2 linked regions of the Canis lupus familiaris genome follow. The protein of the gene in region 1 purifies or fractionates together with the protein of each later gene. This does not show direct contact. Links are inferred from orthologs where the notes say so. Each region holds a gene or a part of one and is shown on either strand. Other genes may lie near its edges.

Region 1 (3,814 bases):
CAATAAAATAGGTGGCTCTCACAAGACTGACAAAGAAAAATGACATAAATGACCAATATCAGGAATGAAAGAGAGGACATAAGCACAGACCCTGCAGACATCAAGAAGATTCTGCAGACATTAAAGGGAATACTACAAAAAACACTATGCACATAAACTCAATGACTTTGATAAAACGGACCAGCTTCTTAAAAATAAACTACCAAAACTCAACCAAGATGAAACCAAAAACCTGAATCGTATAACCGTTAAGAGGATTGAAATTTGTAGTTAAAAATATGCTGAAAAAGGAATGCCTGGGTGTATCTGTTGGTTAAGCATCTGACTCTTGCTTTTGGCCTAGGTCATGATCTCAGGTTGTGAGATTGAGCCCCACACTGGGCGTGGAGCCTACTTAAGATTCTCTCTCCCTCTCCTTCTGCCCCTCCCCTCTCTTAAAAAAAAAAAACCTGAAAAAGAAATTTCTAGACTCAGATAGTTTCACTATCAAATAAATTAATTCTACCAAATAAAATTAAAAATATACAATTTACGATACCTTCAAAAAATGAAATACTTAGGTATAGCTCTAAAGAAAATGTATAGGTAGTAAAAACTACCAAATGTTGATGACAGAAATCAAAGATGACCTACCTAGAGAGAAAAAGACACATACAGCGTTTTTGGATTGTGAAGCTTAATATACTAAAGATAACAGTTTTCTTCCATACTGATTAATACAGTTATTTAATAAAATAACAATTAAAATCCCAGTAGGATCTTTTTGTAGATAGAGACAAGTTGATTCTACAATTTTATACAAAGGGACTAAATAGCTACAACAATTTCAAAAAAGAAGAATGTTGGAAGAATCACATAATCTGATGGAGACGTAATAAAGTTACAGTTATCAAGACAGTGTGGTATTGGCAAATAAACAGATACACAGATCTGAGGCCAGATATAGACTTGCATGAATATGGTCGATTGCTTTTTGACAAAAATACAAGTGCATTTAATGGAGAATGGGATGGTTTTTTCAAAAAATTATATTGGAACAACTGCAAAACACTGTTCTACATGCAAAAATAAATGCATATAAACCTCGTACCTTATGTAAAACTTAACTCAAAATGATCATGGATCTAAATGTAAAACTACAAAACTATTAGAAGAAATTCAGGAGAAAACCTGTATGACCTTAGATTTGGTGATGAGTTCTCAGACATGGCACCAAAGGCACACATCAAAAAATCGGTAACTGGACTTTCTCAAAGTTAAAAACTTTTGTCCTGTGAAAGATACTGCACCAAAAGAATGAAAAGACAAGTGACAGACTAGAAGAAGACATCTGCAAATCACATATCAGATGAGAGATTTATAATCCAGAATATATAAAGAACTTTCAAAATGCAACAATCAGAAAACAAACAACCCAATTTAAAAATACTCAAATGACATGAAAAGACACTTCTCCGAAGATGATATGTGGATGACAAAGGAAGCACATGAAGAGGTGTTTAACATCATTAGCCATTAGGGAAATTACAAATTAAAGCCATGATAAGCTAACACGACACACTGATTAAGATGGCGAAAATTAAAACACCGATCAAGGATGTGGAGCAACCAGAATGTTCATCCACTGCTGATGAAAAGGCAAAGATGGTGCAGTCACTCTGGAAAACGATTTGGCAGTTTCTTATAAAGTTAAACATACACTTACCATATGACCCAGCAATCCCACTCCTGGGTGTTTTCCCTAGAGAAATGAAAACTTCTGTCTACACATAAACCTGGATGTGAAACATTTATAGCAACTCTATTCACAACTGCCCAACACTGGAAAAAAACCCAAAAGTCCTTCAATAGGTTGAATGGGTAAACAAGGTATGCTTCAGGATATAAAATAAATATAAGAAGAAACAAACTTCTGGTAAACGTAGTAACTTGGATCTATCTCAAAGACATTATGCTAAGTGGAAGAAGCCAGGGACGCCTGGGTGGCTCAGTGGTTGAGCATCTGCCTTTGGCTCAGGGCGTGATCCTGGGATCCGGGATCAAGTCCCACATTGGGCTCCTTGCAGGGAGCCTGTTTCTCCCTTTGCCTGTGTCTCTGCCTCTCTCTCTCTCTCTCTCTCATGAACAAATAAATAAAATCTTAAAAAAAAAAAAAAAAAAAAAAAAAAGGAAGAAGCCAGACTCAATAGGCCACATACTGTACAATGCCATTCATAGGACAATCTCAAAAAGACAACATTCTAGAGTTGTCCTCCTTATCTGCAGGAAATATGCTCCAAGACCCCCAGTGGATGCCTGAAACTGCAGACAGTACCAAATCCTATATATACTATGTTTTTTCCTATATAGATCTCTAATAAATTTTAATTTATAAAATTTAATTTATAAATCAGGCACGGTAAGAGATTCACAATGAATTAATTGTGACATGGGACAATTAGAACAATATACTATAATAAAAGGTAAGTGGATGTAGTTTCTTTCTCTCTCAAAACACCTGATTGTACTGTTACCCACCGTTCTTGTGATGATGTCAGAGGACAAAGCGCCTACATGACAACGTAAAGTGAGGTGAATGACATAAGCCTTGTGATGTAGTGTGAGGTGGCCACTGACCCTCTGACAATAGTCAGGAGGAGGACATTCTGACTGAGGACCATGGCTGACTGGGGAAGAGAAACTGTGCAGTGCCAGGGACTGGAGTGGTGGCTGCCAGCAGTGGGGGGAGAGGCGGAAGGGTCAGACTGCCGAGGGCGGCAGTAGGGAGGGCTTAGAGGGGATGTAGCTCCTGATTATGGCACTGGGGTACAAAAATCTGTACATGTGCAGAAATTAACAGAAAAGAAGGTCAATTTTATTAGTGAAAATTTAAAAAATAAAAGGAAAAAGCAAACATACACAGTCAAACAACAATAATAAAACAAGTTGCAGAACCACATCCTACGCTCTCGGCTTCATGGAAAGAACAGTGCATGTTTGTGAATTTACAGAATGAGGTCCAAAAGGATGCTAATAAATCTTAAATGAGGTGGTCTTTCTGAAAATGGAACACTCTGCTAACTCTCCACACTGCTTTAAAGAGTGACAGCCACGATGTGTCTGCATTGATTCTAAACAGGAACACAAGCTAGTGGAGAGAAAAGAGGCTCAGCCATGAGTGGCCTAAGCTGAACCCTGCTGATCTGCTGTCATAAAGAAAGTAAATGTCTCTCAGCGCCTTGCTAGTTTTAAAAGTCCCAGTGCTTTTATTTCAACCATGGAAAAGACAAAATTTTTCTGAAAGAAAAGGAAGGAAAGGAAGCCTACCAAGAGGTTGACAGACTCGATGACATCCAAGAACACCTCATTCTTCCGGTACTTGATGCCCTCGGACCGCCAGGACACTGCATTGGTGACAGTGGCTGGGGGCCTCGGGGCCCCCGTCTCCAGCTTGTGGCCTTCCTGAGTGATGTACCTGTGGGACCGTGCCAAGAGTTAAGGAGTTCAGGCACTGACATTTTGAAAACATTCCCTCCCTAGAGCAGGTTCCAGAAAAGGCAGGCTCTGGTTTCACCTGAGCTGTTTAATACAAGAATATCTTACAATGTGTCCATAAAGCCCTGACAAACTTGAGTTACAATGAGCATAGAGTGTTCATTTTTCACTTGAGGGATGGTGCAAGGAGGGGACCTGAATTTGCTCTTCTGCTCGATGTGCAGAGGGGACTGACCCTTGGGGGAGAAGCTGGTGACCCCAATACCACTTGGGGAACAACAGGTGTGAGATGTGGGCCAGTTATGTGGCTTCTCTGAGTGCCCCTCTGTGCCATGTGAAA
Region 2 (3,687 bases), on another chromosome or scaffold:
TAGAAGAAGCAGGGGCTCAGGCCACCCTTCACCCAGGCCGGCCCCGCGGGCCCCTCGGCCTCGCAGTAGTTGCCCACAGTCACCATGGCGATGCGTGGCCGCCGGCCGGGGCTGCCGGCACCGCGGGGGCTGCGGGGGCTGCGGGGGCGGAAACCCGGACCGGCGGCTCGGGGCGGGGCGCGGAGGCCGCGGGGTCCCGGGTCATGGACCCGAGGGGCGCCGAGCCGCGGGGGCCTCGCGCAGGGGCACACGTGGGCCCGCCCACGCTCCCCCCGCTCCCCTGCCCCGCGCACGCGCCGCCGCCGCGCACTCACGCAGGGCACGCACGCCCTCCTCGCGCGTCCGTCCGCCCCCCGCTCGCCGCCCGGGACCCTCCGGCCGCGTCCGGGCCCAAGGAATGTGGAGCGTGCGGCCGGCGCGGCGCCGGCGCGGCAGCCCCGCCCACGGGGCGGCCCCAGCCCCTACCGGGGCCCCCATTGGCCAGCCTCGCCGAGGGGGCGGGGCGCGGGGAGAGCGTGCACGCGGAAAAGGCAAAATACAGGGGCGGGGCCGGCCCGGTCACGTGCTCAGAGCGCGAAATCTGACCGCACGTCCGACCCGAGACCTTGACCTCCGCGGCGCGGCGCTGGGAGGTGGTCCTGCTCGCTGGCCCGCCCGGTGTATCCGAGTGACGGCGTCGGCCCACCTTCCCACCGCCCGGCCGGGCCCCCACCAGCAGGGGGCTCGCCCGCACCCCACTCCGCTCCTTCCCGGGATCCCAGCCGCGCGACGCAACAAGCCCGGTCAAAGTCCCTTTTTTATTAAGGGTTATCAAGCTGTACACAGTTCCTACGCCTTCCGCTGTGAGCCCGGGCAGCGCCGCGTTCCACGCCCGCAGCGGCCCGGGCGGGCGAGGGGTGGGGCGGAGAGTAGGAGCTGGGTCCCAGCATGCAATGCGGCAGCTCACAGCCTCGGGCGCAGGCCTCCTGTCGCCCCTCCAGCCCCGGGGGGAACAGCGGGAGGCAGCCCAGAGCTCTCTTGCTGGGAGGTAGACAGCCGAGGGCACAACCAGCCCAGTCCGTCCTTTGTGCAGGCGGTTAAGGGGTACAATAAGCAGCAATGGAGGCCAGGACGGCCTCAGTCTCTCAGGGGCCCTGCTTCAAACTTGGAGAGGGCAGCAAAGAACTTCCATCCTGCTCCTGCCTTTTAGAAACCTTCCTTCGTAGTGTCAAAAGGTAGCATGAGAGGAGCTGGGAGCTAGGGTCTCCACACCAGTGCGAAGCAAAAGCTGAACAGAACGGGAGCAAGCGAACAGAACAGAGTAAGCGGCATACATGCCTGTCATGTGCAGGAAGCAGGAGAGGTGAGCAGGCTGTAGCACTGGGAGAGAACTGGGGGTGAGGTAAGGGCCACAGCCTGAGCTACTCATCTGTTCGGGGTGGGGGAGGGAGGCTGCAGAGGTTGAGGGTCCGGGCCCAACCTCCCCACTCCACAGTTGGCACAGGTTCTCCCTGCTTGGCAGCTTCTGTGGTGGGCAGTCCTCTGGAGACTTGCAGGGGTGGGTGCAAAGGTGGCAGTACTGGGGCTGGACCGGGGACCAGTTTCTAGCACCACACTCTGAGCCAAGGGGGGTCCTGGGGATGAGGCTAGAGTCCTGTGTGCCTTGGTTCCTAGGCCCCCAATTTCTCTCCTGGGGCTGCGGCAAGCCCAGCGTTGGCACCTCCCTTGGCCAGGCACAGACACACAAACACCACACACGTGGAGCCAGGCAACAGTCAGAGGAGCCCTCCATGGCGGGCAGATGGGATGGCAGGGCAACCGTGGCCTCCATCCTGGGACATAGGGACCCTCCTCAGCCTTGTCTATACCTGTAGAGAGAAAAGGGTCAGTAGTGGAGACCATCTTCAGCTATCTGCTTACCACCTTCCTGCAAAAAAGCAAAACAAAAACACACACACACACACACACACACACACACACACAAAACCTTGGAGATAAATGAAGGGGAAAGCTTGATTCCAGGGGAGGAAAGTGAAGGGGAAAATTAAGCCCTGGATTCCAGAGTAGGGGAGGCAAAAAATGGGAGTGTATTTTGGAGGGGAAGGGACAGTACCTCCATACGAGAGGCCTGCCTTCTTTCACAGGAGACTTTGATCTCAGCCTGGAAGTTACTACATCTGGTAGCTGTTCTCCAGTCCTGGGGCCCTTACCTTGTGCACCTGAGGGGGAAGCTCATCCTCCGAGCCCTCCTCGGGCACCGGCTCTGGGTGCCTTGATGCTGACTGCCCATCTTCAGCCCACCCTCCAAGGGGCAGCCGGGAGAAGTGAGAGGGAGCCCGGGGTACCGTGCCAGGATCTAGAGACACAAGTAAACATGGTCTTAGAACGAACACAAATGTGGAGCAAGGTTCTGGGGCTGTTCAAGGTGGGGGTAAGGGTTAGTCTCTTTGGGCTTGATCCCTCTGACTTCTTTCCTCCCCAAGAGGCCCCCCCAAAGAGCCACTGTACCCTGCTGTACCCCCGTTGGATACCTGTGATACCCCCATAGCGCCTCTGGAAGCCCCCCTGCAGGGCGGTGGTCTCGGGTGCTCCAGGCCGGGGTGCAGCACAGGGATAGCTGGCAGAGCGGGGGATAGGTTGGGAGGCCCGGGAGCCCTCTCCCCCCTCTTCAGGGGCGCTCTCCCCACTCTCATCGCTCTCCCGGCGATGCCACACATGCCGCTCAGGCTCGGCCTGGGCTTGCTGTTTATGGAGCTGAGAAGTGTGGGGAGTGGAGGGTGACACTCATTAGTTAAGGCTAGGATATCTGAAACAGCTGCCCCCACTACACTGTTCCAAATGTTCCCATTTCTGGCACCGCGCCCAGAATCACTGACCCAGAGTAACTATCTTATTAACAGTGTGTAAGACACATACGACATCTTATAGGTTAAACTCTCAGCAGATCCCTGGAACGAACCTGTTGCATAAGTTGTGATGGCACTCGTTTTGCCTAGTCATTTGAGTCAAGAACAAGTTGGTGGTACATCTAAGTGCCAGGCACTCTTTCAAGGTGCCAGGAAGATAGCACTGAACAACAGACAAAAATCTCAGCCCTTGTTTGGCTTGTATGCTGGAGGCAGAGGTGGTGCGGGGGGATCAGAGACAATAAAATAAAAGAGGGAAAATGCAATAGATCAGATAAATGCTACAGAGAAAAATAAAAGCAGGGAGAGTCGGGGGTGGCCAAGGGAGACTCTTTTGGTCAGGGTGGCCAGAGACGTCTCATGGAACAGTTAAGAACAGACAGGTGATTAAAGGAGGGAGCCATAAGCATATCTAGGGAAGTGGATTCTTGGCAAGGGAAATAGCAAATGTGTCAAGGCCCCGGATGACAATAAGCTTGCCTAAAAATGGATGGCAAAAGGGTATCTGCAGGAATGGAGCTTAGAGTAGGTGAATAACAGACAAGGGTTCCAGACCCATGTCTTGCTTTTCCTTGCCTAGAACCCTCTATTCTATTTGTCAGTGGCCAGCTTGACTCTGTGGCTCTGCCCCTTGCTGCCCACTCACCTGGTGCATATAGAGGGCGTGCAGGCTCATCTCGGTGGATGCGTACTCCGACAGCACCAGGCTCTGCAGCTGTCCTTCCCACACGCTGCTCCCGGAGCTGGCTGTCCTGGCATCCACCCTGTCCCTCCCAGCACAGACAGACCGCAGCCGTCAACA

Evidence for each region.
Region 2: the proteins of AP1M1 (region 1) and ATG9A purify together in Homo sapiens (affinity purification with western blotting, with the first as the bait; 3 studies listed by BioGRID). This does not show direct contact. The link is inferred for Canis lupus familiaris from reciprocal best matches to the Homo sapiens genes AP1M1 and ATG9A.

What each region holds. Positions count from the first base shown.
Region 1 is NC_049241.1:46,687,553-46,691,366, forward strand, and holds part of AP1M1 (AP-1 complex subunit mu-1), read right to left. Parts: intron 3,455-3,814; coding exon 3,307-3,454; intron 1,742-3,306; coding exon 1,706-1,741; intron 1-1,705. UniProt on the Homo sapiens protein: Subunit of clathrin-associated adaptor protein complex 1 that plays a role in protein sorting in the trans-Golgi network (TGN) and endosomes.
Region 2 is NC_049258.1:25,643,114-25,646,800, forward strand, and holds the end of ATG9A (autophagy-related protein 9A), read right to left. Parts: intron 3,650-3,687; coding exon 3,532-3,649; intron 3,092-3,531; coding exon of another isoform or gene 3,008-3,091; exon of another isoform or gene 2,831-3,007; intron 2,734-2,830; coding exon 2,511-2,733; intron 2,336-2,510; coding exon 2,190-2,335; intron 1,848-2,189; coding exon 1,842-1,847; 3' UTR 779-1,841; downstream 1-778. Other genes in the region: ABCB6 (ATP-binding cassette sub-family B member 6, mitochondrial), read right to left, coding at 1-86. UniProt on the Homo sapiens protein: Phospholipid scramblase involved in autophagy by mediating autophagosomal membrane expansion. Cycles between the preautophagosomal structure/phagophore assembly site (PAS) and the cytoplasmic vesicle pool and supplies membrane for the growing autophagosome.